2 linked regions of the Lepisosteus oculatus genome follow. The protein of the gene in region 1 interacts with the protein of each later gene in a biochemical or structural test. Links are inferred from orthologs where the notes say so. Each region holds a gene or a part of one and is shown on either strand. Other genes may lie near its edges.

Region 1 (16,733 bases):
GTCCTGTAATAAAAAGAAGGAAGATTCCATGGTACTGTATATCGATTATACATCAGATGTGGGAATACAATTTGTTGCTGTACAAGAAATGGATTGTATAAGCAGTCTTAAAGAGAAAGAGGTGTCCAATGTGATTAATATTTGTCAATGCTTAATTTGAAATTGTATCTTTGTATTCTGTTCTGCGATAAGCTGGTGTTCCATCCAGACTGTTTTCCACATTGTGCCCAGTGCTTCCTGGGATAGGCTCCAGGCACTCATGGCCCTGAATTGGATAAGTCATTATTGAAATGATCATCATGATGATAATCTGTATACTGTACAGTATTTATGATAATCACCCAGAAAAAGAATGAAACAGAAATTAGAACAAAATTGCAAAAAATATTATTGTCTACTATTACCATGAAAATCTACTTTAAAGTCCATTGTAATAGTTGTTAATATATATGGAATGCAAGAGACTTAAAATCAAATCAGAAAATACTGAAACATAAGAGGCACTTTGTGGTTTTGTAGTGTAATGCATCGTATTTGCCAACTCAATTAAGAACCAATATAACTAGACTAGAAAGAGCACAAAGCAACCAACTTATTTTAGCAGAACCGTAGAATCATCTATAACCTATTATAGAATATTATAGTCAGGTCTGACTGATTTTTCAAAAGGACATTTTTAAAAAATTCAAAACAAGAAAAGAGAACAGAGAAATCACCTGGAAATAAAGAAGGAATACAGTAAAGCTTAAGACAGAGCTGGATGCAAGAAATATTGCTGAAGGGATAGAACACATTTCCCAGGCATGAAGTGGACACTGATTTGCCTGGATCTTTCAATATATGTCAAGGCGACGACTTTGGATCAATATTACATGAGCAAATACATGTATATGAGGGAGCAAGACTTTCTCTAGAGTCATTTAACTTAACACATCTGGATGAAAATTATTAAAGTCAGTCTTGAAAATAACATATACTGTAGAAAGCATATTAAATTCGAATGCTGCTTAGAATGCCAGGATTTCTAACAGAATAATGGAATTTTGAAATATAATGACCTCAACTGCAACTTTATTGAAATGTTTTATGCATATGTCCTCTGGTGCATGAAACATGATATAAATATGGTAGAAAAAAAATCTTTAAATCTTTACTCATAAAAATTAAACATGAAAAAGTTATTGATTGATATGATCTTCACACCCTTTCCAAAGTCTACATACCCTTTCCAAAGTAACACAATTTGGAATTTTACCCTGACTGCCTGAAATCAAGACTTAATCAGAATTCATGTTACCTTAATTTAAACATCATAACACAGAACACCCAAGTGAAAAACAAATGCTCAATCATTTGGAAAAGTAATTACAAATGAAAACCTAGAAAACCAGGTTGAATAATTGCACATAACTCTTGGTATAAGCAATTGTAAATTAGCTCTGATGTAACCAATTATCTTCCAAACTACATGCAATTAGCCTCCACCTTTGTTCAACTAGTGATTCTGATTATTTCAGAATAAAATCAGCTTTCTGTAGGTCTCTTAGGCTGGGTAGTGCGTCTCAAAGTGAAGAGTCAACAATGGGCACAAAGAGCTATTCAAAGACTTCTGGGATAAATTTGTGGAAAGGCATAGAGTAGGAGGTGGAAATGAAAAGATTTAAAAGGCCTTAAATATCCCTTGGAGCACAGCCAGGATGATTATTAAGAAATGGAAGGTGTTTGATACCACCAAACCCTGTATAGATCAGGCCATCCATCCAAACTGGATGGCCAAGCAAGTTGGAGACTGATCAGAGAGTTTCCCAAGAGGCCAATTGCAATTTTGAGAGAGCTACAGGCTTTAATGTCAAGACTGGTCAAAGTGCACATTTAACAACAATATCCAAAGCACTCCACAGACCTGGCCTATATGGCAGGAGGGCAAAAAGGAAGAAATTACTGAAAAAACTGCAACAAAACATTGATAGCAAGTGATATGACAAACTAAAATAGAACTTTTTTTTGGCCTAAATATTACATTTAGTGCAAACTCAGCACAGCATATCACCCAAATAACATCATTCATACTGTGAAAAATTGTAGGAGCAGCATCATGTTACTAGGATGTTTCTCACCACAAGGGACTGGAGAATGTGTCAGGATAGAAGGGAAAATGAATGGAGCAAAGTACAGAAAAGTCCTTAAGGAAATCCTACTGCCTTCTGCAAGAAAGCTGAAACTGGGATAGATGCTCACCTTTCAGCATGACAACAACCCAAAGTACACAACCAAAGTAACAGAGGAGTTGTTAAAGACCAAAAAGGTAAATGTCCTTGAGTGGCCCAGTCAGAGCACTGACCTCAATCCAACTGAAAATCTCTGGAATAATTTGAAGTTTGCAGTCCATAATCAATCCCATCTCAATTCTGCTGAGCATTAACAGTTCTGTAAGGAACATTGCCAGTTCTTGGTGTGCTACATTAGTACAGACCTATCCAAACATAATTATGGCTGTATTTCAAGCAAAAGGTGCTTCTACCAAGTACTAACTCAGGGGTGTGTACACTTACTAAGACCATTTTTCTAGTTTTTAATATGTTATTGCTTTACAGATTTTTCCAGTGTTTTGTTTTTCACTTGGAAGCTCGTTACAATATACTGTATAAATAAAGGTAAAATAAATTCTGATTAAATGTGTCCTTATCTCAGACTGTTAGGAAAGGGTGTGTAGATTTACTATAGGCACTGCACATACACCCATAAGGACTAAAGAAAGGTTCCAAACCCAAAAGTCATTTAGCCCATATTCCTTGTTTTGTAGTTTAGTAGCTAAATGTATCTAAAATGTATCTAAAATGTTATTCAGGATTTGGGGCCTTAAACACCTAGCTGGGTAGCCTGTTCCCAACACCTACATTCAGTAAATAAATCTTATTCCTATTCTCTGCTCTAAATCAATGTCCTTTTACAGATGAAGCCATCTAGAATGCATGTCAAAACGGTTGTTGGAAGAAAGTGTATTGCAGTGTAGTACTTAGTGCTGCATACAGAATTTAGTCATTCACGGCTCAAAGAAGATCAATATGTGGTAGTTGTGTTTCATTAAACGTGTGATACGTTGGGAAATGTAGTTTTTTTGTACATGTATTTGACTCATGAGCTGAATTAAAAACCACATGAAGGAGACACTTTCTGATCCATTTAAATAGGGTGATCACCCTTAATTCAAATTGCATATACCGTATATTGCAAGACAAGAAAAAGGGGCACAGACGTATTTGTCTATTTGTCTAGAACAACATACTGTAGTTGCAAACTTATCCAAAGCTATAGTATCTTTAATTATTATAGACAAATGTTTTCAGAGTGCCATTATTACAATGCAACTTACAATATGCAACACTCAAACTTTTTTCTTTTTTGCTTTTAAATGTGATTTTTGAAGCCACTATGTATAATATACATATTTCTAATTAACATCTAAAATATTTTTTCTAATTACTACTTCTATACAATGATTGCAGGAAAGCAGTAATGTGTTAATAAACATGTAATACTGTATCGATTTGTCAGATAACTATACAAAGGTGTGGTTTTACAAAGTAGTGCAGTCTTTCATCAGATGATTCGAAAAAATAAAAAAAGCCACGATCTGCTGCTGTCTGTTATACTGCGATGCCCACTCGTGCAACTATAGGTTGCATCTGTAGTTTCCAATTGCAAAACAATGTGTTTTTGTTTTTAATACTGAGTATGAAATGCTGTGACAGGTTGACCCTACAGTATATGTAGCTCTTAAGATTTCATATACTTGATTAAATCTCTTTTCAGTCTGTATTCTGTAGTAAAGGATTTGTTTCTCTGATCATGTCTATGCATGAGAATCTCCTGAGCCAAGAATTATTCTTCTGACTCGTATTTAAACTCTTCCTAGAGTTATTATATTTGTTTTGTGTATATTGTATAAGTGTATACTGTTTGGTATCCTGTACCGTCTTTATATACTCCAATGTGTTTCAATAAGTAAGTTAATGAACTCTAATTGTCACTCATTTATTTGTACTTGTATACATGTATAATCAATAAAGCCACAGTACTCCTGGTCTCCAAACCTGTTTAGGCAAGTTTCCGGACCTGACGCCTCCACAACTAAACAGAGCATCTTTAAGGGACAAAAGAGGTGTGGATCACAGACTCCTGGGTCAGGGCTATGAGAGGAACCATCCATCATGTCCCATTAATAACACCATAACTGCATATGGCAGGGGGATTGGCAACATGTGGCCCAGAGATATTGTTCACGCAGATGACCATGACACAACAATCCAGGCCTCATCCAAAGCATAGTCCCCACAACCTAAATTATGCTGAATTATTACATGACAACTGACATAAGCAGAGACAGATAGTGAGGCTCTGTGGACTCAGCCCTCTTCCTTCATCCTCCCATCAGAGTAATTCCTTTTGGACTGACAGATATTTTACCTTAATAATTGAAACACACTGTTATTATAATATCTTTTCATATGTGGTATTTATTTTTAACAAATAGTAAAGCGTAGAATGATACAAGTAAGAAAGCAATAACATGTCATTAACCAAAGTGCTTTGTTCATTATGCTGACCCCTGTAGCTGAGACAAGTTAATGACTTATGAGTGCTATTAACTGTACATCCAAACATGCAGTGTGTTTAAGAAGCTGGCCTGGTATACTGATGCCGTGATTTGCATCATAGTAGACCTGCTAAATGATATTTGCCAAGGTCTAAAGCTGGGTGACAGCAACTAAGCATTACAGAAGTGTAGACTGCTGTGATGAATAATTTCAACCCCCGGCATGCATACAGATGCTTACATCTGGAACTCATGGTTAATGGTTTGGCATGTCTGCCTAAAATATATATTTTGTTAAATAATGCATTTCTGCCTATTTTATATTGTTATTTGAACAGAAACACAGTGTGTAGATGATAAATACTTCTGATTTACTTGAAAAAATGCCATGTTATAATAAGATCACTTCAGATCTTTTCAGATGTATTTAAAAATCACTATTAAGAAATCGACAACAATAAATTTACATTCTCAGTCTACCCTCTTTTGTATATTAGGCAAAAAATGATTTGATTACTACAGTCACTACAGTTTCTACAGTTAAATAATTCTACCATGCGACTGTACAAAAAATATGATTTATAATGGTAAAATTTGTTTTTCCTCCCCAAACAATAAAAATATTGCACAGTATATTATAATATTATTTGTGCTGAACTATAATGGCAGTATACAACTGCCATTATTCATTAGCCTTATGCCTATTTTAGGATAATCTCTTATCCTTATAATAATATGTGCTTAAATGTGTTTAATTGATATTGGTTACTTTCATTGGAATATTTTGAGGTGTACTTACATTAAATATATAAATCTATTACAGAAAAACAATGTACAATGAAAAGGGATTTTAATTTAGTGGAAAGTGGAAAATTATATTATTTTTTAGTGACCAGGTACTTGTTCTTTCAACAAAGTGGAAGGGTATACTTCCTAAAGTCCTGTGGAGCTTTTATACCCCCACAGTACTCAAATATTGTTTTATGTTGTTTGGGAGTAAGGCCGTGCGCAACTCTGCCTCTGCCTCACATCCGAAATGTAGGGTAGCCAGTAACACAAAAGAAATGACAGTATCTTGTGTCAGGACTAGCTAAAGGTTTAAATAGGAAACTGTACTACATAAGAACATATTTAAAAATCAGAGATCCTTTCATTAGTTGTGACATCTTCACATTCTATTGTATCAATAATTGTATACTAGTGCCTTGTTTTCATCTGCAGCATCTGTGGGGACTGTAGACATACAGTATCATAGGGAAATGTGTTTACCTTAGGGCATCGTGGAAGACGCATGATACTAGATTTAGTTGTTGTTTGAGACATAAGCAAGGGATGTCTGACAGTTCTGGGATGAAGGATTGTTCTATGACAGGCTGAAAAGAAAAAAAAATGAGGGGGTGCCTAAGGAAATCCTAATTTAGAAACCCTACACTGCAATACCAAATGCAAGCTGATAACTCTTCATGTTTCTGGAACCCAAAGGTTGGTTGGCCAGCTGAAGGCCGAACATGACAGATCAAATCTACATTTTTGACCCACCCACAGATCAAAAATACTAATCCCCATGTTAACTGCTAAATAAAAAACATAATTGGATGATGGGGTTGTGTCTGTCATTGTCTTTTCATCTTCCCAATAAAAGCATATCCTTAAGCAATGGGTGAGCAGCAGGTGGATCTACGTTTTGACTCAATCCAATCCAAATTCAGGACATCATCTTATCTTCCTACCTTCATTTGATTATTTCAGTAAAGGCTTCAGGACCCAGACATTTTGTGAACTGCCCAGTTTAAACAGGGAGCAAACCAACACAATTTCAAACAATGAAGCAAAACTCCGTAGGTTAAAACCTTCATAGGTTGGTTCTCTTCAGGTCTCAGAACCTCATCGGTCTTTTTGAGCTTTTCCTCTTGTTGTGCTATCATGTTAATCCTGTTTGTTATGTGATTTGCTTTGAAAAGACAGCTATAGCACATTGCTGAGTTTGTAAAGATATGTGCACTAACATACAATATAAATATACAAATAGAAATGGTAATGAAAATATAGATATAGAACTTGCACGAATAACCAAGGCGAAATGATTTACCCCAATAACCGGCATCACCTACAGTATTTTTTTTTTCAAAAAAGATCATTAGAAAAAAATACACAGGTTCAAACGTTTTAAAAACAACTAGATCATTCCATATTGAATGTTTCTGGGAGTTATCTAAATATTCAATAGTGTCTGGCATGTTAAATACTGTAAGTTAAAAATTCTCGAATTTCAGGAAAACTGTAAGTTTTTAATATTTAAAGACTTTAAGATTTTATTTCACCGCTGTTGCAGCATCCCTACTTGCAGAATGTTTCTCTCCGGTATTTATTTAACATGAACCTTTAAACGTGAGTCTTTAAAGTAATTTATTATCAAAAACCGATTACGTAAATTGGGAGGTATGAAAAACAGCGTCCCGACTCTTAACTCTCGTGTTTATATTTTCTTTTTTAAACAATTTTAGTAAGTTTCGAACCCGCAGCCTAATAGACAGCCTAATAGACACATTCTTCAATGATAAAGTAGGCTACTAGCAGGTTCTAACAGTTCTAGTTTTCCTTAAGCCACTACAGGATCTAAACAGGCAAGGTACACGGCACATTTCTGAACCTCAAGCATTCCGAATCTTTTTCAAATTGTTTATTGAAATGTGTTTAAATTAATATGTTGTGTAACAAATGATTCATCGTCCCTGTAACTAAGATAACTTGGGTCTAACGATTATATACTGCGCGGTCGACAAAAAGATTCATTATTATTATTTTATTATTTATACACTGTTAATAAGCAAATACCAGCGCTAACATCAGCATAATCTTTAACGTTGTGTTTCTATACAAAAAGAAAGAGCGCGGTGGATTGGCAATTCAAGAGATTTTTTTTTTCTAGCATTCTCACTGTTCAGATCTGGACATATTTCTGAAACTAAGACCGAAGTAATGCGACAGCAAATTTCACAAAGTTCCGAAAGCATTAAATAAACACAATCTCAATGAAAGAAATACTTTTGTTCACTACACCCTCTTTCTCTATATGTATATACAGTGTAAGGGCAGTGTGTACACTTGTTCGTACGTTTTCTCTTATTTTATTAATTAAATCAAAATGTCTGTTATTTGGTATCTGTAAACAAAGTACTAAAACACAATTCAGCTGCTTACCTGGTGTTCAGTTAACAGGTGGAGCTCCAGTATTTATAAAACCCTTCCCTTTTTATTGTATGCACACAAATCCTTCCAACCCAAGTTACAATATTCCTTGTTTGTTTTTCCGGGCTATTTTTTTTCTTCTTTTCTTTCTCAATAACCTCATGGAAATCGCCTCTGATCCTGGTCCCCGTATCTTCCACGCAGCATCCGAGAGTGTCTGAGAACGACGAAGTATAAAAAGAAATTAAATGCCCCAAAGTGAAACGCAAAACTAAACACAAGTTGTATGTGCTCCTTTTTGAATGCGTTATTAGCTCTCCTCACTGCCGATTTCCAGTAAAATCCAAGTGAAATGCAGATTGTACATTTTCCAATCTCCTGGAAGCTAAGCGGTCGCTGTCTGTTTCTAGTGGTGCTGAAATGACTGAATGGAAAAACTCACAAGATAGATCACAGAAACGGACTGAAAATCACAAGGGATTTTTCTTTCCCACACTCTCACAAATCGTGTATTTTTTCCGACTCCGGTTTATTGATCAATTTACCATTCTCCAACCCTTCGTTTTAGCAGCGTTTTTAGCGGCTCAGTACGAATAAAACCGCACGAAACACGTAATCCAAAAACAACAACAAAAAAAAGCTTTGTGACGAGAATATCCGCAGGGTTTTCACTGCAGCTCTTGTTCATTTAGGAAAGAGAACCGTTAACAGCACAGAAGCCGCAGTTACAGAAGCGAAGGGAGCTTTAGTTAATGAAGAGCTCCGCTGTGACGGAGTCTTGTGAAGTAAAAGAAAAACGAACGAGGGCTGAAATTCAAACACCAGTTTCTTTGTAAAGACCGCGCTCTCCTTCAAAATAGTACAAAGTGTTTGTATCTGAAAATAAAACCGAAAGATGTGTGAGATACGCACAAGCTATTAAAGCACTCCAGATAAATTCTGTTTTCATTACCCTTAGTCATTGAAGAAATATAGCTACGACCTCTCAGGTACAACAATGATTCTTAAAGCAAACTTTTAAATGAAAGAAGAATTATGTATAATACATGCGTAAAAATACAAAATACATAAATTAAGGACGTTCGATCCACAGGGAAAAAAAACGCGTTCAGATTTTCCAGACATTCAGTTTATATATGTATGTTTAGTAGATGTAAGCACTCTTACTATTTTAGGACTAGACTCGAAATTTAAATGCTATAACTTGAGCATAAAACTCGATTTGTGATTTTATCTTTTTTTTACTATATATATACTATTATTTTTATCACAATTTTGAAGCACATAATGGTCTTATTTTATCACATCACCAAAAAACATTTTGTAAATATGCTTCTCATCTCTTTGAAGCTAATACTATGGATAACCTATGGATAACACTTATGCATTGTGGTCTGTTGGAATACTGACTCTCACAGCCAAAGCATAGCCTTAAGGCATGGATCTAAATTTTACTCAGCGTGGCGCTCTTATACAAAAGTCTTGTGAAACGTACAGTACACTGGCTACAATGCAAAAGGGAGGGGGATGGTGGTTAAGCAGCGGTTTTTCATGCAAAATTATGGAGAAACTCCAGATGTTTTCTTTTTACAGACTCTATCCTTATTTCTTAATCACTGCAATAGTGTGAAAAATCCAGAAACTCACACTAAATTGTATGTACCCATGATATGTCTGTACTTTTGTAAAATAGTTACAAATGAAAAGAATATATTGGGATTTTTTGGTACACAATTTAAATGCTTACAGGTCTTTTGGACAAAAGTCCTTCACACAATGACACCATGATTTCAATATAGAAAGTATTTGAGATAACTCTGATAATCAAATAATTAATATTGTCTATTTGCTATTTAAAGACACAAAAATCCTAAAAGTATATGCTCCAATTTCAAACTCAAAATTAGCTATTCAAATGGGGAGCTGGGTTAGCAAGTGCTAGCTACATCAGCTTGCTCCTAAGCTAACTGTAGTTAGTATCTTTAGTTAGTACTCTAGTTATCCATTCTCTAAGTCCTTCTTCCATTGCAGGGTCACAAGGAAGCTGGAGCCTATCCTCGCAAGCAATGGGCGCAAGGCAGGATACACCCTGGACAGGAAACCAGTCAATTGTCATTAAGTAAAGGTTAATTCCATGCAGAACATAAGACAGAAAAACAACTGTTTCTTCTTTTTACTCCTTAGCTTGGAATTAACATTTACTTGTTCCAAACTTAGTAACGCTGCCCCAGTGAACCAGAATAATAACAAAAGAGCTGACTGTGACTTTAGACACTGACTTCAAATGTGGGGAAAGTAGCATCATATGTCTGTATATGGTTCTGCTTCCTAGTGTATCATAACAGAGTTGATCATTGTCATAATCTGTAGTTTGAAGATTAATCTCCTGGTCTTCAGAGTACTTTGAACTGTATGTGGACTATTTGCATCCATCCATTTTCTCCTTCCAATTCTGGGTTACAGCAGAACCTGTCCTGCCAAGTAATGGGTGCAAGTTGGGATACATCGTAGATGCGCTGCCAGTGTATTGCAGCACAGACAGAAACACACACGTCTTCCAATGCAGAGCTGGGACTAGCAAGAGCACCCGCCTTAATTAAGGAGGGGCAGGATTGGCGGCAGGTGCACATGATCAACTAAAATATGAAAGAGCTGGAGCGCCCTTAAGAGCAGGGATTACAGTCGTGACAGGTCTGAGCAATATTGGTCTGAGGAAGGGTGACTCTGGCAGGCTGGAATTCGACTTTGGAATGGAGAAGAGTCAGAATTGGGCAGTGTCCATGTATGAACTGGATGAATATATTTGCAGGACACTGTCCAAGAACTATTTTCACAACCTGTATTAACTACCACTAAATTTATTACTGATACAGTTCTATATCTGACCTCCCTACATAAAAGAAAAATGGTAAAACATGTCTTTGAAAGGTTGGTATGATGGACACCTGAAAATTGAAAGTCTTTGATCGGAAAGAGAAATTAAACTAACAATTAGAATAGAATATAGAATATTCACAAGAAAGGATTGAAAAGGATTGAACGATGATGTACAGTAGATAGATTAAATAATGATTGTACTCCATGAAATTGCTATGGCTGGCAATTTGAAGGAGTTTTTAAACATTCTACTTTTCATTTCTTTTAGACTTTCATTTAGGACTCAAAATACGGTGAAATGGTGGATATTTAATATAGGCGATAAATTAGCATGATGCTACCTATTCAGTAAAGACATTAAAGACATTAATCTACAGAATATATCAGGTGCAATTCATGCCACAGCTGTAATTTGTAAAACATTTGCTAAACAAATGATTGCAAATGTATTGAGTATTAAAAAGGGATGTACCATAGGGATGTGTATTTAAGGTGTAAGGGAAAGATATTTGGAAACTAAAATGATCTCTTACCTGATTTCCACTCCCAATAATAAAGCACATGAATTATTGGCACCATACATGAACATTATTCATTAATGTCTTAAATGATCAAGTCCAATAAATATGATTTTTATAATTATGCACAGCAGTCAGACCTAACTGATGAATCAAATATTTTTTTTTTCATAAAATATCAAAATCACAGAACAATATACAGCATAGATCAAAGAGTTGTGGGGAAATAAAACTGTGGACAATATAACACTGTTAAAATGAGGACATCTGAAAAATGGTTATGACATTTTTGAACATTAACATGATCCTGGCAGGATAGATGCACAACATTGATCAGCCTGTAGGTAGTGCTGTGGAATGTTCTGCTATTCTTTCTTTGCAGCTGTAGTCAGCTTGCGAGGGCTCATTGGTCATAGTTGGCTGCTTTTTTTGCCATTCCTGTCTTGCTTCCACAGGCATTATATTGGATATGGGTCATGAGAGAGATAACAGGTTATTTCTGTTGAGAATTCCTAGTGCTGTAGCCACTGCAGTTTACATAATGATTACACAGATGGATCAGATTGATGTCATGGTCCTGCATCTGGTATCATGACTTTAAGGACATTGCTTTCCCTCAGAGATTCAGTTTCCTGGTTCTACGGACTAGTCTGATGACTGTTGAACCAGAACACCGAATTGTCTGGACAACTTGTCTTACTCTAGTCACCTACAATCATGCTTATACAGCAACCAGTTGATTTTCACTATTGGAGTGGGGCATGATTGTTTCTTTCACTGTTCTTACATTACATAAAAGTATGTCTTTTGAATAGCTGTTTATATAGATCCTTAGTCAATTCATTTTTATCTGAATTAAAATATCAAATACTATGCACCTGGTGTTTTTGTCAAATTAAGTGACTTGGGCTTACTTTGTTGCTATATCAATGGAACAGTGGCACTCAAATAATCAATAAACATGTCTGCTTACAGTTTAATGATAAATAACATTATTTATATATCCAAATGGCTATTGGAAACTGCTAGGTTTTCATTGTGCTTCATTAACTATAACTTTAACAATTAACAATAACTACTCTAAATCATTATTTAATTTTGTTTTGTTTTTGAAAAGTTAATTTTTCTCACATCCTGGTGGCAGATTCGTAGATTGGCATTATGCTCTGTCCAAGAGTGTGCTCCCAAAATCAGATTATCAAACTGGTGATGAAGCCTACTCTCGATAGACACCAAGACCATGGGATGCTTTGCTCAAAGACTAAATATATAAAACCCAACAAAGAAATAAACCCATAGGACAAAAGTAGAAAATAAGGGAATACGCATTTAGGAAGCAAACTACACAACTCCATGAGTAGCTATGCACAAACTACATGGGTCTGAAACTGTTACACATTTACAAACTACATGAGTTTAAGTCATCTTCATCCCTCCTCTAGAGGGTGCTCCTACCCTTTTGTATTTTAGTTTCGTTATTGCGTGCACCTGCCCCCTGTTTGCTGATTATTATTTAAGCGTGGCATTTCCGTAGCTCTCGGATCAGCATTGGAAGATGGCTGAATGCCACCAGGCTTGCCTATTCCCCGGGCTCGCAGGTAGCCCGAGGGCAGGTCTTATTCCCTGGCGTCCTGACCATCTGGATCCGGGGCTCGGAGCACCCGGCTCCATTATGATTTTACTTCCATGGTCCGGATTCCTCGTTCCCATTTCTGTGTCTGTTTTGATGGATCTCCCGGCAATGGACTTTGGACGGGTACCTGCTTTCCCCTTCTGTTAGTTTTGGACTTGTTCGCCTGCACCACGCCCCCTCGAGCACAGGAACACTGCCGTCATGCCCCCCTGTCTGTCATCCTGTCCTGATCCTGTTGTGTTTCCCTGTTGCCCTTCTCCAGCCTCTTCCGGATTTTACCGTCTGCATAGGGTCCTAAATGCGCACTATATGGGAGTCTTAACCGGCTCCCATTACAGACTCCTTGGCTCCTTTACCCATCAGGTGAGTGGGAGTCTAGCCTGGATGTGCTAATATCCTTCCCAATCATAATTTGATTTCTGAGTTTTCTGTAGTCTTATTTTAAACCATTTGAAGATGCACTGAATTAATATGACCATCCCAATTTAATTTAATATTTTTATTATATTAAAAGCTCAAATATAATTGTACTTGGATTTTTTCTTCCAGTGCTATGTATATTTGACTCTATAATCTTGGCATATATGGAATATTCTTTAAAGTGTTAACCTCACAGTTGCAGTTGCACATATCTATGAAAACACACAACAACAGTAATGGAACTCAAAAGACAAAGAATCATAAAAATATATTATTTTTATTTTTATTATTTAATGAATATAGAATACAGCACAATGTTATCAGAATTCAGTTTAGAATTTTTTATAATTTAAAAAGGAGGACAACTGTTTTGTCTTGGTGGTAATAAAACTATATATCACTAAATTCAATTGGCCATTGTCTACTGCTCATGTGAGGGCAGTTGGAATAATAAAAATAACACACAAAACTTCTTTTGCCCCAAAGCACTTGAGAGCAGCCTTCTTCTTACAAGTTACAGCAGTGCCCTTGGGGTTAGATATAAAGGAAGCACTATTCAAAAAATCTTAAAAATCCTTTTAAAAACTTATTTGGGCTGTACAGTATATTTTTTATGTTTATAGTGTTATTCAGAAGTATTCAAAACATTCCTACAGTATGTTTCATTTTGTGAAATTAAAAATGATGCAAACACAATTTTTGATTTTTTATTGTATATGTATACATTTTTTATTGCATTCAATACCTAGAGGCACTGACTTATACATTCTAAGGGTAACATAAGTTACAGTAAATGTGCTTGTTCATGACACAGCTATCAGAAAACAGCTGAATAAGAATGGTGTTCAAGGAAAGACATCAAGGAGTAAACCGATCTCCAAAAAGAACATTGCTGGCTGTCTGAAGTTTGCCAGAGAGAGCACTGATGATCCACAAGGTTTCTGGATAAATGTTCTCTGGACAGACAAGTCAAAAGTAAGTACTGAATCTAAAGGTTCACAAACTTTGTCATAAATGGGTATTTAATGTTGTATCTTTTAATGATAAAAATGCTAAAAGAGTATCATGTTTTATGTCATTTGGTTAGTCAGATTAACTTTATCTATTATTAGTACTTAGATTAGGATGTGATAACATTTGAGTGTCAAATACAGTATGTGGAAATCCTAGTGGATTCACAAGCCTTTTCTCAACACTGTATTTTTGCATCAGCATGTAAGCCTGTACAGTAATTCTCATACTATGTAAATTAGACTGGCACCTTACGGTGGACTTTAAGGTTCTCATACTTACATACAGTATAAGGCTCCAGGTTATTTTATGGGCATAAGTGTACAGACTAGCTCTTAATTGGAGATCTGTTGATTCTGATACTCTCACTCTGTTAAAGATCAGGCTTAAAGCTATGAGTGTTAGAGCCTTCTTTTGTACAGTGTATTGCGTCTGGATTTTATTGCTCAGATCCATTAAAAGCTCTGCAACTGTCAACATGTTTAAAACTCACTTAAAGACCTTTATGTTATAGCTTTCAGTGCATGTTCTTGTTCTGCCATTGGTTTTATTAATACAGTTTCCAGTGTGTTTATATTTCCTTTTCGTTCTACTCAAGTTGCAAAAAACACACAAAAGAAAAACTGAATTACCGTCATACCATTATAACTTAAATTAAATTCAGAATTTCTGTTAATATTGTTATTTTTGGACATTGTTTGAATTATCCTTATTATTTAATAATAAAAATGTTTCTTATGTTTGCCTTTTGTTACATCATGGCACAATCACTACATTTGATTGACAAATGTATGACAACCAAAGATATGGCCTTATATCCTGTACTGTAGCAGTTTTTAGCTAAATAAATGTAATAATAACAGTGATACCCTAGTGTTTTTAACTGCAATGGTTTTTGCCATTAAAATATATAAATGAAACTTTCCAACCTTGTTATAGCACTTTAAAAATGTGTTTTTGAAGAAACAAAATTCCTTTGCTTTTAAACATGGTCATACTCCAAAGGCAGCTAAATTAAGTCTACCACTATGTAATGATTCAGTTCATTACAGACTGTTTCAGAGAGGGTTAATTCTAATTTTATTTTATTTTTTTCATAAAATATAATATTCTTTATGTCATGTTTCATGGCAGAAACTGTTTTGTAGAGACACATTTTGGTAATAAGGAATTGTTATAAATTGTACTGTCAGATAAGATAAGAAATTGTCTTGTTTCTCCTTGCTAAGGATTCTGTTTCACATGTCTTCTTATCTCCTGATATCTAGAAAGCCACTAAAAATAGATTAGAGCAATGTATTAGGACAAATGTAGGTGAATGTAGGTTATCATTAGAGTATTACTATTAAATCAGGTTTAAGAGTGACACTTTCATTTATTTCCATTTTAACAAACAGCACTTTAACTCAGACATTCAGTGCATTCACTTAATTCTAGTATACAGAAATACATTTAAATCATGATACATTCTATACAGTCACTTCCAAATTTGCTCCAAAGTTTTCCATCCCGGGATTGTAGTTTTAATAAGTTTTGCATTGCTAAACCCATGAGCGTCATTCTTTAAAGAACATAACATTCTTTAAAACCAATATTAAAACATTCTTCCTATGCTGTTTCACGGCAGTGTTTGCAGAGGGTTTAAGGAATTGAAATACTACAGTGTACTCTTCTCCCCCTTATTAGCATACAATTCAGTTTAATTTTTCTCCTTAAGCATAGCATGGCAGCAGTGATCCAATAGGAATCTAGCTTATGAATGCTTAAAATGCATGCAGTTCTAAGTACTCATACCTCCATTTTTCAATTAACACCAGCTAACCACAGTTTATATTAACAGCCTTTCCATGGTTCTGTTTTGCCTCTTTAGATAGAAAATACCTGGAACCAATCTTACATTGGTATGCAGGTTGCGCCAGTAACAAAGATCCACAGGTACTGCGAAAGAATGTTCTGTATAATCAAGTAGTGAATTTGATCTGACAATGTTTAACCATTATTATCTAAAATATCAAAAATAATTACTGGTTTCCTGATAAATGAATTTTGCAAATCCTCTTACATTTCATATCATTTCATAGGTAATACATTAATTCTTAAAATGTATATTTTAACATAGAAAATACACTTGAATAATAAGGAACCTGTATGTTTTACAACAATTAAATAAAAAAAGCAGCAACCATTTGAGAGTAGTGCAGTAGCTGAAAAAGAAGTAATGGAAAAGGAGCTATGCCTGTAAATCAAAGATAAAGGTCTTTTGATAAATATCAAGTTCAAAGTGATTAAAGTTAATTTCTCTTTTAAAAATTGTCCTTAGAAACATAATCAAATGAATTGGTATTTGATTTTGTGTGCAACATTTAAATGCAAATATTTGTGAGAACACCACGTATACTGTGTTTACATCACAATATCGAGGAGGCTCCAAGTCCAAGATCTTTAAAACATCTTAAGTGCTAAACTACTGCACTGACTTACTACTGTA
Region 2 (16,772 bases), on another chromosome or scaffold:
GCAGGACTCGACACGACTTCTAGTCGGAGCGCATGTCAAATTTAACGACTGCAGTTGCTGAATCTCACTGCCTTTTCTGTCCTAGAGGGTGTCAAATTAGACGACAAGGAATCGCAGGGGGTGAGTAATTACATGAGTCCCTCACGACTTTCCACCATGGTTCCAAATCTCGTATTGCGTCAGAAAAGTACCGTGAGGTCGCCTCATTTTGGTAGCCAATCAACGTGGAGCACAAGAGGAGCACCACATGAAAGTCACCAACAACATGGAGAACAAGCACATAAACATCTTGAAAAATGTAACACAGGCATTGTTTTCCATAAATAAACATCTTCAGAAAACACAGTTAAAAATATAAAACACCTTTAAAACAAACATTGTAAGCAAATTAGTATTGCGTTATAACATGGAACATATTGGGCACATTATCTCACAGGTACACATCAGGCTCACTGCCCACCTCTACGACTTGTGACTCGCAGAGAGTTGTAGAGGCATTAAAGAGCGCTATAACAGATATAAGAGTCGCTGGGGGTGTCACACTACACAACTGATGGTAACGGGCGCGCTGCGATTCTACAACTCTCTGTGATTTTCTTACGATTATGTAAATGAAGGCTACAACTGAAAATCCTAGGAAAAGTCGTAGTGTGACGCCGGCTTAATCCCAATGTTACCCCTGCTGACACCTAGCTCTCCTAGCTGTGCTCTGCCACTCCAGGAATCTCAGCCACAGTCCAGTAGTAACATAACCAAATTCGAACCCGAGACACCTGTGCCGTGGATTACCTTTACACTTTTTCCCCACTAACACCCCCCCAAGACCCTTTAAGAAAATGGTCCCTAACAGCTGCAGATTTTAAGTTTCTTACAAAATGCAATAGGTATCTTGCAACTTCCATTTTCCTAAAGCTAACATCTTTAGTACAAGTAAAGGGAATACTGTTTGAATGAAGGGTCCATGAAGTAATAAAAGGCTCAGCTGGAACATGTCAAATGGATCAGCGTGCTCTGATGTCTGGCTTTGGGGAGCCAGTGGTCTTGCACTGTGCCCCAGAAGGTCTTCTATCACCTTCCTAACCCCCAGTACACATGAACTGTCTTGATTATGATTTTTTTGCTAAATATGACAGTCATCTCACTGCACACCAGGCCAATGGTCTCCCCAATCCATACACTGGATTCCAAATTACCTGGCCGAAACTATGACCCACTTAGAAAATAACTAGACAGGAAGTCATTTTCAGCTAGAGATTGGAATAATGCACCTAGAACACTTAGTAGGACCTATATCATTCCACACTGTGTATCATGAAATATCAGTGTTCAGTCTCTTTCCAAGATGGCAGAGAGGCTCAGCCATCTAGAAGAGCTCTTTGTTACCATCGTGATGTATTCATTTAGTCATGAGGACAGGAAGCTTATGGAAATTGTAGAGGGACTAAATGCAGAGATACTGTGTTGAAGCTGTTTGAAAGAATTCCCACTTATTTCAACATCACGTGCACAGTCTAGTGTTTGAAATGATTCTCAACTTTGTTAAAGTTTAGTACAGCTGTATGAAGTAATGAATGACTGTGAAGGATGATCTCTGAACACAAGAATGGAATAGTGTTTCTGAAGGACAGAAGGTAAGAAAGACTTCAGTTCAGTGCTCAAATGATTAAGTTTCACGTGGCAGGAAGAGAATGGTCCAAATGTGTTTTAAATATTTACAATGAAGTTACTATTAAGACTGAACAGACAGAGTCGGGGTTCACCATTCAGATGGCAAGCTTAAGAAAGGATCCTCAGAGTTCCTCCTTGCCTTGAGTAACACAGTAGACTAACTCCTCAAATACAAGGTTCTAGTGTAGGTGGCTGCACAGAATACAGTTAAGCACCTTTGTTGAAGTACAGTTTAGACCTGATGTAATGTATTCTGCAGCACTGAATCCCAGTCTTATTCCTCACAATTTTTAAACAACAAGCCTAGTCATGACCACCAGCTTCAGTAAAGTAAAGATGTGCCTATGTTTGAGGAGAATTTAATCTATTAAAAAGATCAGTTTACTTATTTTATAAAACATTCACCAAATGATTAGTTGTATAGGGCCAAAAAAACATAGCACTGCTGCTGTATTTGTATTTATACTCTTTTGTGAAACTGAAAATGATCATTAATTTACAGTAAATGTAGAATATGATCTACAAAGGCAGTTCCAGCAACCCTCCTTCATTTCTTCCTGTAACACTATGGGATGGAGAGTCAGTCCAACAGCACATTACTTTGCCTACCTGGCAGACAGGCAGATACCGCTAAGTCTCTAAACTACCACTTAAAGACTATCCCCCAACTTCCCCAAATACCTTACTTATTAGGGACTCACAAAGTTCAACAAGAAAATGGCTGAACTTCAATACACACAAATACAGTAGAAAGCGTACACCAATGTGGATGTCATTCTTAGTAAAATGTTTCCTCAGCCAGTATATTTTCAGTAACTGGAGTGATCCAGTAACTGGAGTGATCCAGTAACCCAGCAGCGGTTAACTGGAATCATTGCTCTTGTAACGTGGGCTGTAAGTGGGTAAACTGAATGAACTGTCAAGAAAACAAGTTTACCGGATCCTGAAAACACTTTAATCAGCACTATGATTCGTCAAATCACCTGGCAATTTCTAGACTAACTGCCAGAATCTAGTCAAGGGATAACAGTAAAGCAGCACATTGCTGAGTATACAATTAAAGAGCAACACCAAAAACCACTGGAATTTCATATCAGTCCTTACCTTTCACACACCCATGACACAAAGGAGGCAAATACACACTGACCTAACTGGTGTCCTATACTACAGCACAGTGAATTGGGCTCTCTCTCAAAATCACAGAGTGAAATTTGTTTAACAGTAGTACAGAATGTGAATCGAGATGTGCAAATAATTGCATGCCTTTTCCACAGCTCTCAATATTAGTTGATATTAAAAAAAACAGAAAGAACTGTATGTAGAGGCATGTGTTGCAGCTTTTGTTCTCTTAAGTCCTGAGTTCTTCACAACCAGAGAACGCAGCAACACCAGGGAGGGAGTGGGCAGGACAGCACACTGCCCAACCTGCTCTAGAGCCTGGGACAAGAGCTGTGGGAGGGTGGAATGCCATTTAAGGTGCGCTGTACCAACAATGTGGCTGAACACTTCTTCTAAATAGAGAAGGGCTGTTAAAACATAGTAACACCACATTTAATAATTGCTAAACTGAGCAGAGAGTCAGCTATTTTAAAAGTTAGCATCCTTCAACACCCTTCAACTCCTTCTTCACTCCCTATCTCATTGCTAACTTTGGCAGGATTTACATAGACATGTCCCTGCTATCTCTCAGCGTTACCTTCTACATTTTAGGAAATGCTATGCTGTTCTGTTTTAGGAAGTAGAATCTGGAATGCAAATTACTTGATTAATATAAATATAGCAAGGGATATTTAATTGTCTTTGTCTCATATACAAAGTACGATGCTATGATTTCAGTTCAGTAATTTCCATGAACTTCCACAAAAGATGGTTTCTAATCCCAAAACATATACATAGTGGTTCAGGTGGGTAGCTGCGTCAGCATGCGTAGGCTGCAAAGGAACAATAGGTTTATTCCATGCTGAAAAAAAAGAAGAAAGAGAACACAATGTTTCGGCCGTGGAGCCTTCTTCAGGTGTGAGAGAGACAGGGCAGTAGGCAAAGGTAAAGTAGCGGGAGAACAAAGGTTGGGAGGGAGGAGGAGTGAGAGGCGGGAGCAGGGGACAGAAAGAGAGGCCAATCAAGAGGTGTGAAGTCAGAATGGGTGCAGAGAGGTGTGAAATGAAACTTCCAATGAATGGAGAAAATTTAAAAGAACAGTAATCTGTCGTTAAGGGAAGGGAGAATGTGTGATCCTAGCTGCAGAATAATTTTGGTTTCGGTGCTCTTTCTGATGTATGAGCTCGGAAAACCGTCTTTGAGAACACAGACGGAGAGATTAGTGTGGTCGTGGCCGTCAGAGGTGAAATGAGAAACAATGGGCTTGGAGAGATCTTTAATCCTCACAGCCCTGACGTGTTCTCTGAAGCGGTCTCCGAGTCTCCTTCCTGTTTCTCCAATGTAGATGGCTGGGCATTTACTGCAAGAGATACAGTAAATAAGGTTGCTGGAGGTACAAGATGCTGTCTGGGTGATCCGGAATTGTCCTGAGGGGCCTTGAATGAGTGTGGTGGTGGATGTGTATTTGCAGGTGATACAGCGAGCTCTGTTGCACTATATACATAGTGTACAGTACCACACAAAATCAAATAATTATTTTTGTTGGCCGAGTATATTTCTACCCTCGACCCTCCTGGGGCTCAGACACGTGTGTGCTGGAGCTCAGGGAACCCCAGTCACAGTAAGGCTCCGACCCACAACACCTGGACGATGACTTGACATCTGAGCAGGGCTCTACTGTGCCGCCTCTGACATGAGGCAGCTGCATGGGACCTGCTGCTGTTCTTGGTGCAGTTCCCCAGGCGAGTTCCCCCTCCACATGTCTCCTTGGGTCTGCCTCTACTTGTTTTCCCTTGTGGCGTCCAGCGTAGCGCTGCTCGTGGCAGAGAGTCAGAGGGGCATTTACAAGACATGGTCTGGCCACTTCCATCTTCCTCTGTGAGTATTGTAGTGAGCGACCTGAGGTCTAAAAGCCTTCGTTGCAGATGGTCATTCCAGTTTGGTCAGTACATCTTTTTCTGCCATAGGCACTTGCTCTGAAAGGTGTCAGACGTCATCTCCTCTGAGATGGTGTTGGTCACCTTCCAGAATTCAGAACCGTAGAGCACAACACTGCGCATGTTAATTTTGAAGACCCCAAGTTTCATTTTTAGTCTCTTTTCTTAGATTTCCACACTGAATAAAGCAAGGAGAAAGCCTGGCTTGAGCAAGCACCTGAATTGGCAGAACTACTTGAGTTAAATGATCATTAATTAAATTAAAGAACACCCTCCTCTGGTCCATGTTAGAGTTTTTTTTTAAGTAAACACAACCTTGTGCATAAAGACAAATATGTAACCAATTAGCTTTTGTAAATAAATGTGCAACTTTTTGGAAACAAATATAAAGACAAGTGTTGGTTAAAGATGCTAGAATTTAAAACTTTACAGGAGATTCCAATGTCCTGCAAGATAATAAATTTAAGCCAAATGTTCAGTTATAAACAATATAATGACAAACACAAGGCACAGAGTTTAAAGGAAACACTGTTTTAGTCTAAAATGCTTAGGCAACTAGAATCTTCTTCTACAGCTGTTGTGTAGAATCAGACTATCTACTGATTTCAATATTTTATTGCTTGCAATGAATGTATGAATACTTCATTAATGTAATATATTTTGCAGCAAAATGTCTGGTTAAGAATTTACTGGAATGTTCTTAAATGGGTCTACTCTGGATTTCCCAAATTAATAATAAAGGTACATTACTTTTTCACAATTCTGCATGTCTTGTGCACAATTAACAAATATCCACAAATATTTAAAAATCCCCCTGCAATTCACATAAAGCCTCGTCCATATATCGGACCCTGTTGCACTACAATGTTACATTTTTAACTAATATAGGATACCAATATTGTATGATTGTACACTTAGATTTCTAAAGAGCTTTTAAAACGTTTCCTATAGAAGAATAATTCTCAAACCAAAAACTTAGGGACTCTAATAAGATTAATATATTGAGAGGCCTCAAAATGAGGTGACATTATTTGTGGGGTATACAAGGAATCTGTTTCATAAGATGAGAAGAGTAATCAAGTCATATCAGATAATGTGGGTAAGCGGCAAGCCAATCAACACAGGAAAAGAAATGCAAGTGAACTTCAATATATTAATTAGAACTAGGCAAGAAACAGGAAAAGCACATTCAATAGTGGCAAGTGCAAAGCATTACATGCAGGTAGAATATGAAGTCAAATGATGACATGGTTACACCCAACAAATGCCTTAGGTTTTACCTAACAACACAGATAAATGTCTAAGTCTCAGTTTTTTTTTATCCCAGTTAGTTGCAAATGAAGATAAAGAGCAAGCCTAGAAACGCACAATGGCAACAAGCATTCCACTGAAGTATAACACAGATAGGCCACAAAAAGCACTGTTAGAGCTGGTTCTCCTTTCCAGAGGTGTATGAACAGAAGACTCATGACTTGCACTTTTTTGCCGTACTGTACTCCAGTGGAACAAGCCCTTCGAATAAAACACGCATCATTTTGAGTTATTCTGAAGTCAGTCTCTTTCAGACCGGTGTCTGCAGAAAAGGGTAGGAGTGGGTGGAAAGGTCTCAAGACCTGACCGAGAAACCACAGGGTTGTACATATCTTTCACAATGAGAACACAAAACTATTTTGTAATTTTAAGCTGCATTCCACAACACTTTGCAAAAAAAACAACATGATGACACAACATACAGAGGGATGAAATGAAGATAAAGTTGTCCTTCTAAAATTTAAAGTCGGCCTGCTTTTGGAATACCAGTACTTGATGAAAGAGGCATTGGCAGATACCACGACACTAAGACTCGCATTGTGAGCAAGTCTGAATATTTTTATGTTCTACCAACTGTGGCTCCTTTTTCAAAGGCCAAAAGGAAGAAAGTCTTTAAATATTTATGAATCAGCTCATGTGTTTGCCTCCTTCATTAGTATTATTTATACAAGATCCTTGAGGCCCTAAATAGATAACACTGATGTGGCACAGCTTTAATTGCATTCCTGCCAATGGCCAGAGATGCACTGAATATGAGGTGGCAAGCTCATAGCACAGTCTCAGTCAAGATCCTGACCTCATGAGATTTGTATAATGTCACAAAGATAGTGACATTCTTGGGTTTCACTGCTTTAAAAGGCCATTTATGTTTAAGTACTACATCTAAATGTATCAAATAACATTTCTTTGGACGACAAGTAATTCCATTCACAGCATACATGAGCACAGTTCACCATGAGCATAGAAAACTGCCTTCATTGAATATAGCGTGGAATGTGCTATTCCCCCTTAAGACAATGAAAGTTCTCAAAAATATCTTTCTGTTTCAGCTTTGGTGCCACACAGACCTCATGTGGAACCAGGAGAGTGCATTTGGAGGATCCTAAAACATCTTGTCCCGTGATGGTCGCAAATACACTTTGCTATATGGGCATACCTTTTATTCCAAACCTAACAGTGGGACTTCACTGCTCCTGATGTTCTCAAGCCACAGTAAGTAAAATTAGCCCCAACACCCCTAAAAGAGGAAACAAAGTCTTATAACGAGAGAACTGCCTTAATTCAGAAAGCAGAAGGATCGGATGGCAACATGCAGACTTTCAAAAACACTCTAAGGTGAAATTTTAAGACTCATCCAGCAGCTTGACTTGTCATTTGAAGAACTATCCATTACCTCGTTACGAAAAGACTACAGAAAACCTGTCTAATATTGTTGGTATATGTGTCCTACTGTTAATTCTCATGATTAAGTCTGATTCTAGCGAATCAGTACCAATATGCTGATTTTATAAGGGCTTTTTCTGCAAACGCAATAAAGAAAAATGCTAACTGTGTCGGATAGGGAGCTCAATTTTGCGAGAGCTGATCACGTGTATTCAACCTATTTTATAATTGGAAAACACCGGTTGACAAACACAAAGACACCGATTGTGTAAAGGACCACTGAGCCTACTGCCAAACGCAATAATTATGCGTTCTTTAACACAATGTAGAGCACTAATAAATGCATTTGAATACCAAACTAGGAGAATACAATAGCTACAATCACCTTTAAGACCATTACAGCTTCAGTGAGCCGACCAATTAAACCTTTAAAACATATTAAATCAGTACAGGAAACAACGTCATACTGTTTACATTGAACTTTTACAAAATCAAGGTGAAACTTCAACAACGTGGCTACATATCCGCGCTCGGATGCTACAAACCCCCTGCACCTACCGACGCACTTAAAAGGTCTTGCTGTCTGTAGTTTTAATATATAGTATTATTCGACTGAAACGAGAGCCTTCTTTTTCATCATTCCCTGTGCTCTTTTAAAAGTTTGAAACAGCAACTGTAAGTACAGCTTGCGACGATACTGCTCATTCGTAGTTAAACTACTTTCTCAACAAAGAAAATCACAGCCAACAATTAAGCGCAGTGAAGTAGCTTCAATAGTCGGGGCCTCTGGGGGCTACCAACAACATGTATTAACATGTACAGTATATCCAACTACTCGGTGTGCTAGCCAAGGAGCGCAGAAACAACCCCGTCCGCTAGCTGCGATTTTATTTCACGGTACTTGGTGCGAAACGCCACGAACGTCTCAATCTCGCACGCAACCAGCTCTCTCCTCCGGTCTCAAACCATAGGCAAGAAAACCTCCCAGACAAAAACACAAGTTCAGCTCTCTTTACTTACTCAGTTCCGTTCTGCAGGAAAGGTTGATAGTAACGACTGAGATCCACCCAAACCTACCCTGGTGAACTCTTTCAGCCCATCTCCCACTGACTTCCTACCTATCCCGAAGCTCTGTAGGGGGAGGGAGGTCCTACGCCGTTTTGTTTCCCCGGAAGCTTGTTTACACAGGATTCTGGGAATCGTAGTATTAGCAGAATTTCTCGCTGTCGTAATGCTGGATTTTTTTAAACTTCAATTGTATTGGAGAAAGCGGTTAGAAAATGGATGGATGTAATTTCTCTGAGCTATGATTTGAAACTGAACTAGTCCGAAAGGCGCCGGCAACGAAAAACGGAAAGATCAAGTAAACAAAATTGAATACCATTATTGCGGTAATAATTACAGTACTGCATTGTAATACAGCTCTCTTGAATAATAATTTAACATAAAAAAAATCATTAACATAGCCCAAATTGTGTAAATATACATAACAATGTAATTTAAGAATTTTATTGAACATTTATTTGAATGGACGGGAAATGGCATTATTACAATTTTCTAAAGGAAAAAAAACAAGCACAATATTGCGTAAAACAAAAGGATAAAAGTACAATAAAAGGACGATTTATGCAACGGATCGGGACAAACTGCAAAAACTACAGTTAATGAGAACAGGATCCAAAGCACATGAGACCCTTTGAGGGAGGTTCTGTGTGAGCAAGAAAGTGGATAGAAAGATGAGTGATGCAGGCAGAAATTAAATCCCGTTTTTTATGGTTACTGTAATTTAAATCTATGCATGTTATAAATTTAAAAGCAGAAACTGTCTTGGACCAGACCAACAACCCAACCCATTCTACTCAGGATGTCCAAATTCAAAAAAGTCTATTGACTGTGTATATTATTGTCCTCCAGAAGACATGAATGGATACTATGTGGAATTGCATTTAAAAGTGAGAACAAGTGGCTCATACTTACGCAAAGGGCTGTGGGAGCATGGAACTAGCTACCCAGCTATGCTGTTGACAATGGAGTCTTGCAGAAATCATATTTGGAGGAGAACCTTGAATAAATTATTCGCTAACCATATGTGAGCTGAATGGCCTCTTGTTTGTAACCTCTCTTATGATCGTCTGTTTTCACTAGGTGAGATGATGGTGGAAAGCAATCATCCTCTTAAAAGCCCAAGAGAGAGATATAAGATAAGATCACTTTATTAGCCCTAAAATTAGTCTTTTCACATAATCCAGCTTGCTCTCCATGAGACACAGACAGGGAGAGCACAGGGTCAGCCATTTATACAGCACCCTTGGAACAGCTGGGGTTAAGGGTCTTGCTCAGGGGCGCAACAGAATAGGATTCCTCTGCCGGCCACGGGATTTGAACTGGCAACCTTTCAGCCACAGGGGCAGATCCTTAGCCACAGTACCACCGCTCCACCCCCATATCTTTGGTGTCATTACTGCTGCCTCATGATTACAGGTTCCCGGCTTTGATTCTGGCCTCCAGCATTTTTCCACATGAAGTTTGCATTTTGTCCCCACATTTGCATGGACCTTCAATACGTTTTCTAGCAAACAAAGAGGTGCTGGCTACGTTTGCCAGGCTTTCCCAGATTGTCCCTTCCTCCCTTGATCTGGTGCCCCAGGAGTGTGGTCTCCCCTTGGCAAGTCCTGCCTTGCTCCCTGTGGGTGTTGGGTGGGCTTTGGCCTCACCCTGACAAGTTCCAGCTTCACTGCTCGCTGATGATGAATGAATATGTACTGCAAGTGTTATACATGGATGCAGTAAAACTATGTACTGTTATCATCAGCAATGATGATCAAAGACACTAAAGTGTCTCTGTTTTTTGCCTCCCCCTCCAAAACACTTGAGGTTCTAATTAACGTTTGTTTTCAAAGGTCAATAAATACTATGGTGATGTGATACATTTACGACAGCATCTAAGCTCAATAGTTCAACAATTAACCGGTGTGACAGAGTAAGAATTCATGTCCTTATTATTATTATGCATTTGCAAAGTGTGGATTTTAGGAGTATCTTTGTGTCTCAAACAGGCTGTGGGCCTGCCTTGTGCCCATTATGGGCTTTGGGTACAATTGATCTGTACCAGGAATAAGCAGCCTACTGATAATGGATGGATAGGAACCTTTGTGCAGTATGTTATGCCATGTTAATTTGTAAAGCTAAAAAAAACTTCCTGGAAAGGCCCTTAGATTGTTTCACAGTCTATTGCTTTGTGCCACAGGGGTGGGCAGTGATAAAAGCGAAGAGGTCACAGCACAATATATTCATCTGGGAGAGCTGGTAGGGTGGAGGCAGCCCCTTCAAAGGCCTTACAAGCAACAGAGACAAAAGAACACGTCTGCAGAGTTTTTATCCAGACTAATGGAGAATGTGTGTTTGTGCTGTGTTCATCAATGATTGCACCCTCATCAATCATGGCTTAGATGCTTCCATTACAATGTACCACAACCAGCCTTTCTGCTTACGCAGAAATAATCCCTATGGCATGAGAGCAAGAGGGGACTCAGCTTTTAAATGAAAATGATCAATTTAAGAGGTCAGATGCCTGTATTGACAGAAAAGAACAATATCTGAAGGCTAGTATAACACCATATAATTTATATATCAATCGTTTTTCATCTCAAGGAATGATACAGTGTTATTAATAAAATTTTACTGCTCTTTGGGGTTTTCATTTCTTTAATATTCTTTTTTTAAAATACAGAACAAACTTGCAGAACTGTAGGACCTTCACTGCTGAATGTGATGGGCAACATTTATTCTGTAGTAACTGGTATAGAAACAACTTTAAGACTCATTTTCATACTATTTCACATAACTTATTCTAAGTACAAATCTATTTATTCTTATACAGAACCCGCTCCAATATTGAACCATTCTTTTATTGATTGTTATGTTGCTATGGCAATGTTTAGCAGATAATTCTAAGACGTACAATGAAAGTTGAATTGCAATCAAAATAATTTTCAGTGGTAACTCCTGTTCCCTGGGTTTTTAGCAAAAAAATAGTTAAAATTGTTGTATTTATTCCTTCTAGTCTTCAGACATTCACTGCACTTTTTCTTTGTACAATAAGCCAAGTGGATAATTTACTAATTTTACAGTATACCTGTGATCAAAGCAATTTTCTGTCTTCCCCATCTGCCATATTTAAAGTAGATATTGTTAAAAAGACAGTGATGCTTGCTTTAGCTGATCTAAACATCTAAACCACAGTCTGCCCAATAGCTCAACTCGTTTGCTAATTAAGGAAAGCTCTGAGGTTCCATGCTCATCTCCTTTCTCTATTGCAACACCAGAGAGTCTTAATTTCATTAAGAAGAGACCTTCCTTTAGAGGGGTCATGAGGGAGCTGTTGCCTAACCCTATATTATATTATAGCGATGACAATATTGATTAAATGCACTGCAACACATGCTGAACACACTTTCTCATTGGCATCTTCCTTTTTTCTTGTTTTACTGCTCTTAGCATTTTCCATGCTTGGACTTTTATTTTCAAACGATTCATTTTGAAATACTGTAGGACTGAGGTCCGAAATGGAAAAGACCCTTGCTATATGCTGAACTACAACAAACAAAGAAAAACATAACTGTTCTGGCTTTCTCCCTCATCTCCCCCTGAAACTTACACACATTCGAGAAGTGTAGCAGGTGCTCCTGTAACAAAACAGGCTCCTTATTGGAAAATAAAGTCAAGTTGAGCTTGACTTTACATCTTAATGACCACAGCAGGTGGCAGTGCATAGAGCCAAACCCCAAATATCTGTTAATATCATTAATGTCCTCACACGAGGTAACAGTGACCTTTCACTGACAATTAGTGGCAGCTTATAAAAAAAAACAGAATGCTTTCCACACAACTGAGACAGAATTTCTCAAATCCTCCTTAACTGCTGCTTTAACACAGTTCACCTTTCTTTACAGGCATTTCCCCTTTGAGAAAGGACGAGGGATTCCCCTTTCCTGCAGCTGGAGCGTATAGTCAGGTGACAGAATGAAAAGCGTGCAAACAACGAGGAGCCTGATTTCAAACAGCCAATTCACAGGTCTGGGAAACTCCACAGCAACTGAGCACAGAGTGCAAAAGAACAAACCCAGGGAGTGATACTCATTTGGCAACCGCAAATGGGAATACTACCTTATTTACTTCTACAGAAATGCAATGGGATATGCCAACACAGGGCTGACTTCCCAGTTTCCTAAATGGCAGCCTGCCCATGTGAAAATACAGAATCCGTGGAGCAACACTGCTTCCTTTCACTGAAATTAGAACTCAGAAACAATAGCAGAGAAACATATTTAGAATGTAGAGAAACACATAATTCTGAATTAATAAATCAGTGGGCGCCAATCCTGATACGAATGCAATATCCTTTGAATGACTGCTTCTGACTTTTGGCACTTATTTTAAGCCCTGAGATGAGGCTCATCTCTATTTTATGTGACATATCCTTCTGCATAACCTGAAACAACAAAAGCTCATCCAGACTGACAGCAATGAGCAAGCTGACAAGTTAGAAAGTCTGAAGAAACATTACTGTCTGGATGGGATGTATAATTTGGGGTCTGAACACTGGACTGTTGGTGTTTTTTTTATTTCAGGACAGCAACAGTGTCTCGAATCCACAACATTACGTGCAAAAGAACCATTTAATATATATTTAGTTTATGGGTAGAAGCTGACAGATTTGAAAGAAACAATACTTGTTCAGGTAGGTATTTCACAAAATGTGTTAGTTTCTGTTTGCGTGTCTAGAATTCCACTGTCCCCAGTGCTGGGGGCCTGAGTTCACAGCAGCTCAGCAATGATAATAGCTGCTTCTCTGGTGCAGTGTAATCAGCTGTTTTTGACACTTCACTGATTACACAGCTTCCTAAATGGATTGAGGTAAAGGCAAACTGTGCATTTACACTGCATCCTGGCAGCAGCTCACCACAGGCGAAAATAACTATATTCAGATTTCTCCTTTGAAGTGCAAATGGTTATTTAATGTCAACTGTCATTATAAATTAATAGCATAGCATTCCTCTTTGCTTTGAAATAAGGTTTCACTAGCTTCTTTATTGTTCATCCTGTCTGTACTGGTGATCAGCTGTCTCAGTTTTACCATCTTTCGCTATGGGGAAATAGATTATTATTTATACTGGCAATATTCCAGTTGTATTATAAAGATTTTGATCAGGCTGCTTTTGGATCCTGAAACGTTTAGATGCAAAGTCTAAAAGGACACTGATAGGCAGAAAAGTGCAGTCAGGCTTCATCTGAATAACTTGGACTTCCCAGTTACTTTGAAGAACATGGTTGCCTCTTTTAAATCCTGCACCCTTTGTGTATGAGTTTTGTTTCACACTGTCTTGCAATTAAGGCAGGTCCAGTCTTTCACAGTGCTGTTTATAATGATCTGCCTAGATCTATGAGGGCTAGGCGTGCTCTATCATTTCACATCCCACCCAGTTTTACAAAGGTCCCCTGACAAACACAAAGCAGGCTGGTTACATAGCAATGCAGATTTCACAATGACTCTAGTCATTTTTCAGATGGTACAGGGAGGTACAGGGGAGAGACTCGCAGGGCGGACAGCCCCACTGCAATTCCTGTTTCTGTTATACTCTATTTTTTGCTCAACCAAACCAATTATAGTTTCAACCCAGTAGATGCTATTTAAAAGATGCCAATTGCCTAGATATAGTAAAATAGCTTCTCAGGCCATCCTCAGTGAACCCACAATAAAAAGATCAAAAATCAAACTAAAGCAGGAAACTATAGCAAAAATCAAACTAAGACAGGAAAATTTAAAGAGTTAATAAAAATGTTTTCCAGTCTGCTCCACCTTTTCTAACTCGCAATAACCTGAAGGCTTACCTTCAACAGCTCCAACCAAAACACAGACATTTCCCTTTCCCTTAACTGTATTGCCTGGATGTACAGCTTCATACTTTAAACTCAAATTACTATTAACGACGTGGGGAACAAATCTGGTGCAGAAACAAAAAATGCACTGAAACTAACACCTGACAGTTTATTCATTCTTTGTGTTCAGAACAACGCTGCATCTCTGCTACAAATGAGAAAAGGTAAGCATATCGGTTCTCTTGGTTTGTTGTGCCTCCTGTTACAGTGCTATAGAGAGCAGCACTGCGTATCCACAGCCATGATTCAATGCAGGAGATGGGAGATGAGACGGAAGTGAGGCAGGAGAAGGGAGGAAGGGAGAGGCAGCAGGCACTGTAGTACACTGTGTGTGAACTGCTGTGTTGAAGAGTAGAGAGCTCTGCTGTTTGTACTGGAAGATGGAAACTAGCTCTGTCATTGAACAGTGCCAGTATACTGCGCCTTCAAACAATGCTGAGAAACAAATAGCACAAGGGGCTTGTGAAGGAATATCCAGAATTCCAGGTATACATCTGATATACTATCAGAGTAGCGATATTATACACCAAGCTGTGGTGCAGAATTCAAGATGCTTACAAGAGCAAAATATCCTTACAGGTTAGATTTAACATGTGAAAGTCATAAGCTAAACAAAGAAGTCAACTCAATGGAAATATCACCCATCTCCTCTCACAGACATGTGCAGAGAGACAGCGCCTCATATTATCTAATGTTATGAAGGGGTCTTATTTAACAGGCAACTCCATACAGAGTTATTTGCAGCACCACTATACAAAGGAGAGTGTGAAACTCTGTCAGGAGTTGATATTAATTAACATGCCCCTCCTTAAAAAGTGATGTTTTGTTTCTTCTGCTTTTAAAGAAATTATCCAAATAAGGATTAGTCCTTATCTTTGCATAAAGTAGCAAGCATGTGCCCTCTAGTTGCCCCCCTACTTAGTCTATGTAGTGCAGAGTATCAAGAGTCATGCTGTCTGTGATTTCTGATACCAGGATTTAATGATGTAGAGGCTCAGGAGAGCTGCGGCTGTCTGCTCCCGCCTGCTAGAATGGGCTTCAGAAAGCAGGGAAGACAAGTGCAAAGGTCACGTAAATAGGAGGGCTGAGGCCCTTCACTTTGAACACCTGCAGAAAAATGAAAAGAAATGCAAACAATAAGTATGAGTATTAGAATCAAATGATTAAAAAAATTTAAGGGTAGAACTGTTACTCTGACTTTAATATTAATTATGAAGGTACTAATTATCACCACCATTATTAGCACTGATACTAAATTAACCATTCGTACAGTATAACGTGCTGCACAACCAAAATGTTAGATAGTCCATTTCCGCTCAGAATTAAAAAGCCATTTTAGAGAGAGCATGTGAAGACTATTGTGTGCTTTTTTGCATTTTCTTTGTGCAAACTGCATCTCTCTTTTCTGAAGACCTGGAGGTAAAATACTCTGGGTCCTGTGTGTGTGAAACTCCCTGGTCACATGATTGTCAGATGAAAAAACAAACAACACAGCATGTGAGAACAGACCCCGGGGGGGTCTCGATGTCAGTGTGCTAGGAGGCAAGTCTGTTTGTGTGCACCACAGGCTCATTGTGATCTCCAGCCACCTCGACTATACCTTGCAATCAACCCCCCCAAAATCTATTGGCAGGAGCTGCAATGACACAGGTGTCAGACACTCAGCCAGCCCCCCCACATCTCTTTGTCTCCCAGGGCCGACTGTCCATTAGCGTGAGTGCTCCAGGAGCTGATAATACATTTCACAATCATCAGGGAATTTCAAAATGCTGTTTAGCATTGCAAGAAAGGAAGAGAAGGGAAAGAAGGAGATAAAATCTAATATGGACACAGTAATAATAATGTCTGTGGCACTGCATCATCATGTCTGACAGTAACATCAGTCTCTGCCGAATTTGAAGCATGCACAGATTAAGAATCAATCTATTTTGATCAATAAGCTCAAAATTGAAAGCAACTGCATTTCCACAATTACTTCACTTGATGTCTCGTTTGTGCAGCTTTCCAAGAAGAATATTTGCAAAGTCCAAAATGCCATTTCACAGCTGGGGGGTGCCATTTATGGTTACATAATAAGAAGCTACCTCAACTGGTGCAAAATGAGAGGCACTTTGTGGAGTGTGTGTTGTTCAGCCCTGTAATGGCAAAGCCAGCGATGTGCCAGGGGTGGCTGTACCTGGCTCTTGGAGGACCTCTTGGTGATGCCGAAGTCCTGACAGATTGGCCCAGTGCAGAACTCCTGCCACTGCCTGCCACTGCCAACGAGCCCCTGGACAGTAATCTGGTACTGCACACCGCGCTCTGACAGCAGGCTGAATGGGCGTCGCTCACAGGCCCGCAGCGAGAGGGCCGGGTCCCAGTGTTTCAGCCGCTGCCAGAGAGGAGATAGACACGATCACTCAATACTGACTCGCACAAACAGGCTTTCAATTCCCC

The links.
Region 2: the proteins of sntg1 (region 1) and plekha1b form a complex in vitro, tested with the Homo sapiens proteins (2 studies listed by BioGRID and IntAct, with this or other methods). The link is inferred for Lepisosteus oculatus from reciprocal best matches to the Homo sapiens genes SNTG1 and PLEKHA1.

The regions. Positions count from the first base shown.
Region 1 is NC_090701.1:47,634,097-47,650,829, reverse strand, and holds the start of sntg1 (gamma-1-syntrophin), read right to left. Parts: upstream 8,642-16,733; 5' UTR 7,799-8,641; intron 1-7,798. UniProt on the Homo sapiens protein: Adapter protein that binds to and probably organizes the subcellular localization of a variety of proteins. May link various receptors to the actin cytoskeleton and the dystrophin glycoprotein complex.
Region 2 is NC_090699.1:27,817,414-27,834,185, forward strand, and holds the start of plekha1b (pleckstrin homology domain-containing family A member 1), read right to left. Parts: upstream 8,536-16,772; 5' UTR 8,418-8,535; intron 1-8,417. Other genes in the region: btbd16 (BTB/POZ domain-containing protein 16), read right to left, coding at 15,375-15,443, 16,513-16,707. UniProt on the Homo sapiens protein: Binds specifically to phosphatidylinositol 3,4-diphosphate (PtdIns3,4P2), but not to other phosphoinositides. May recruit other proteins to the plasma membrane.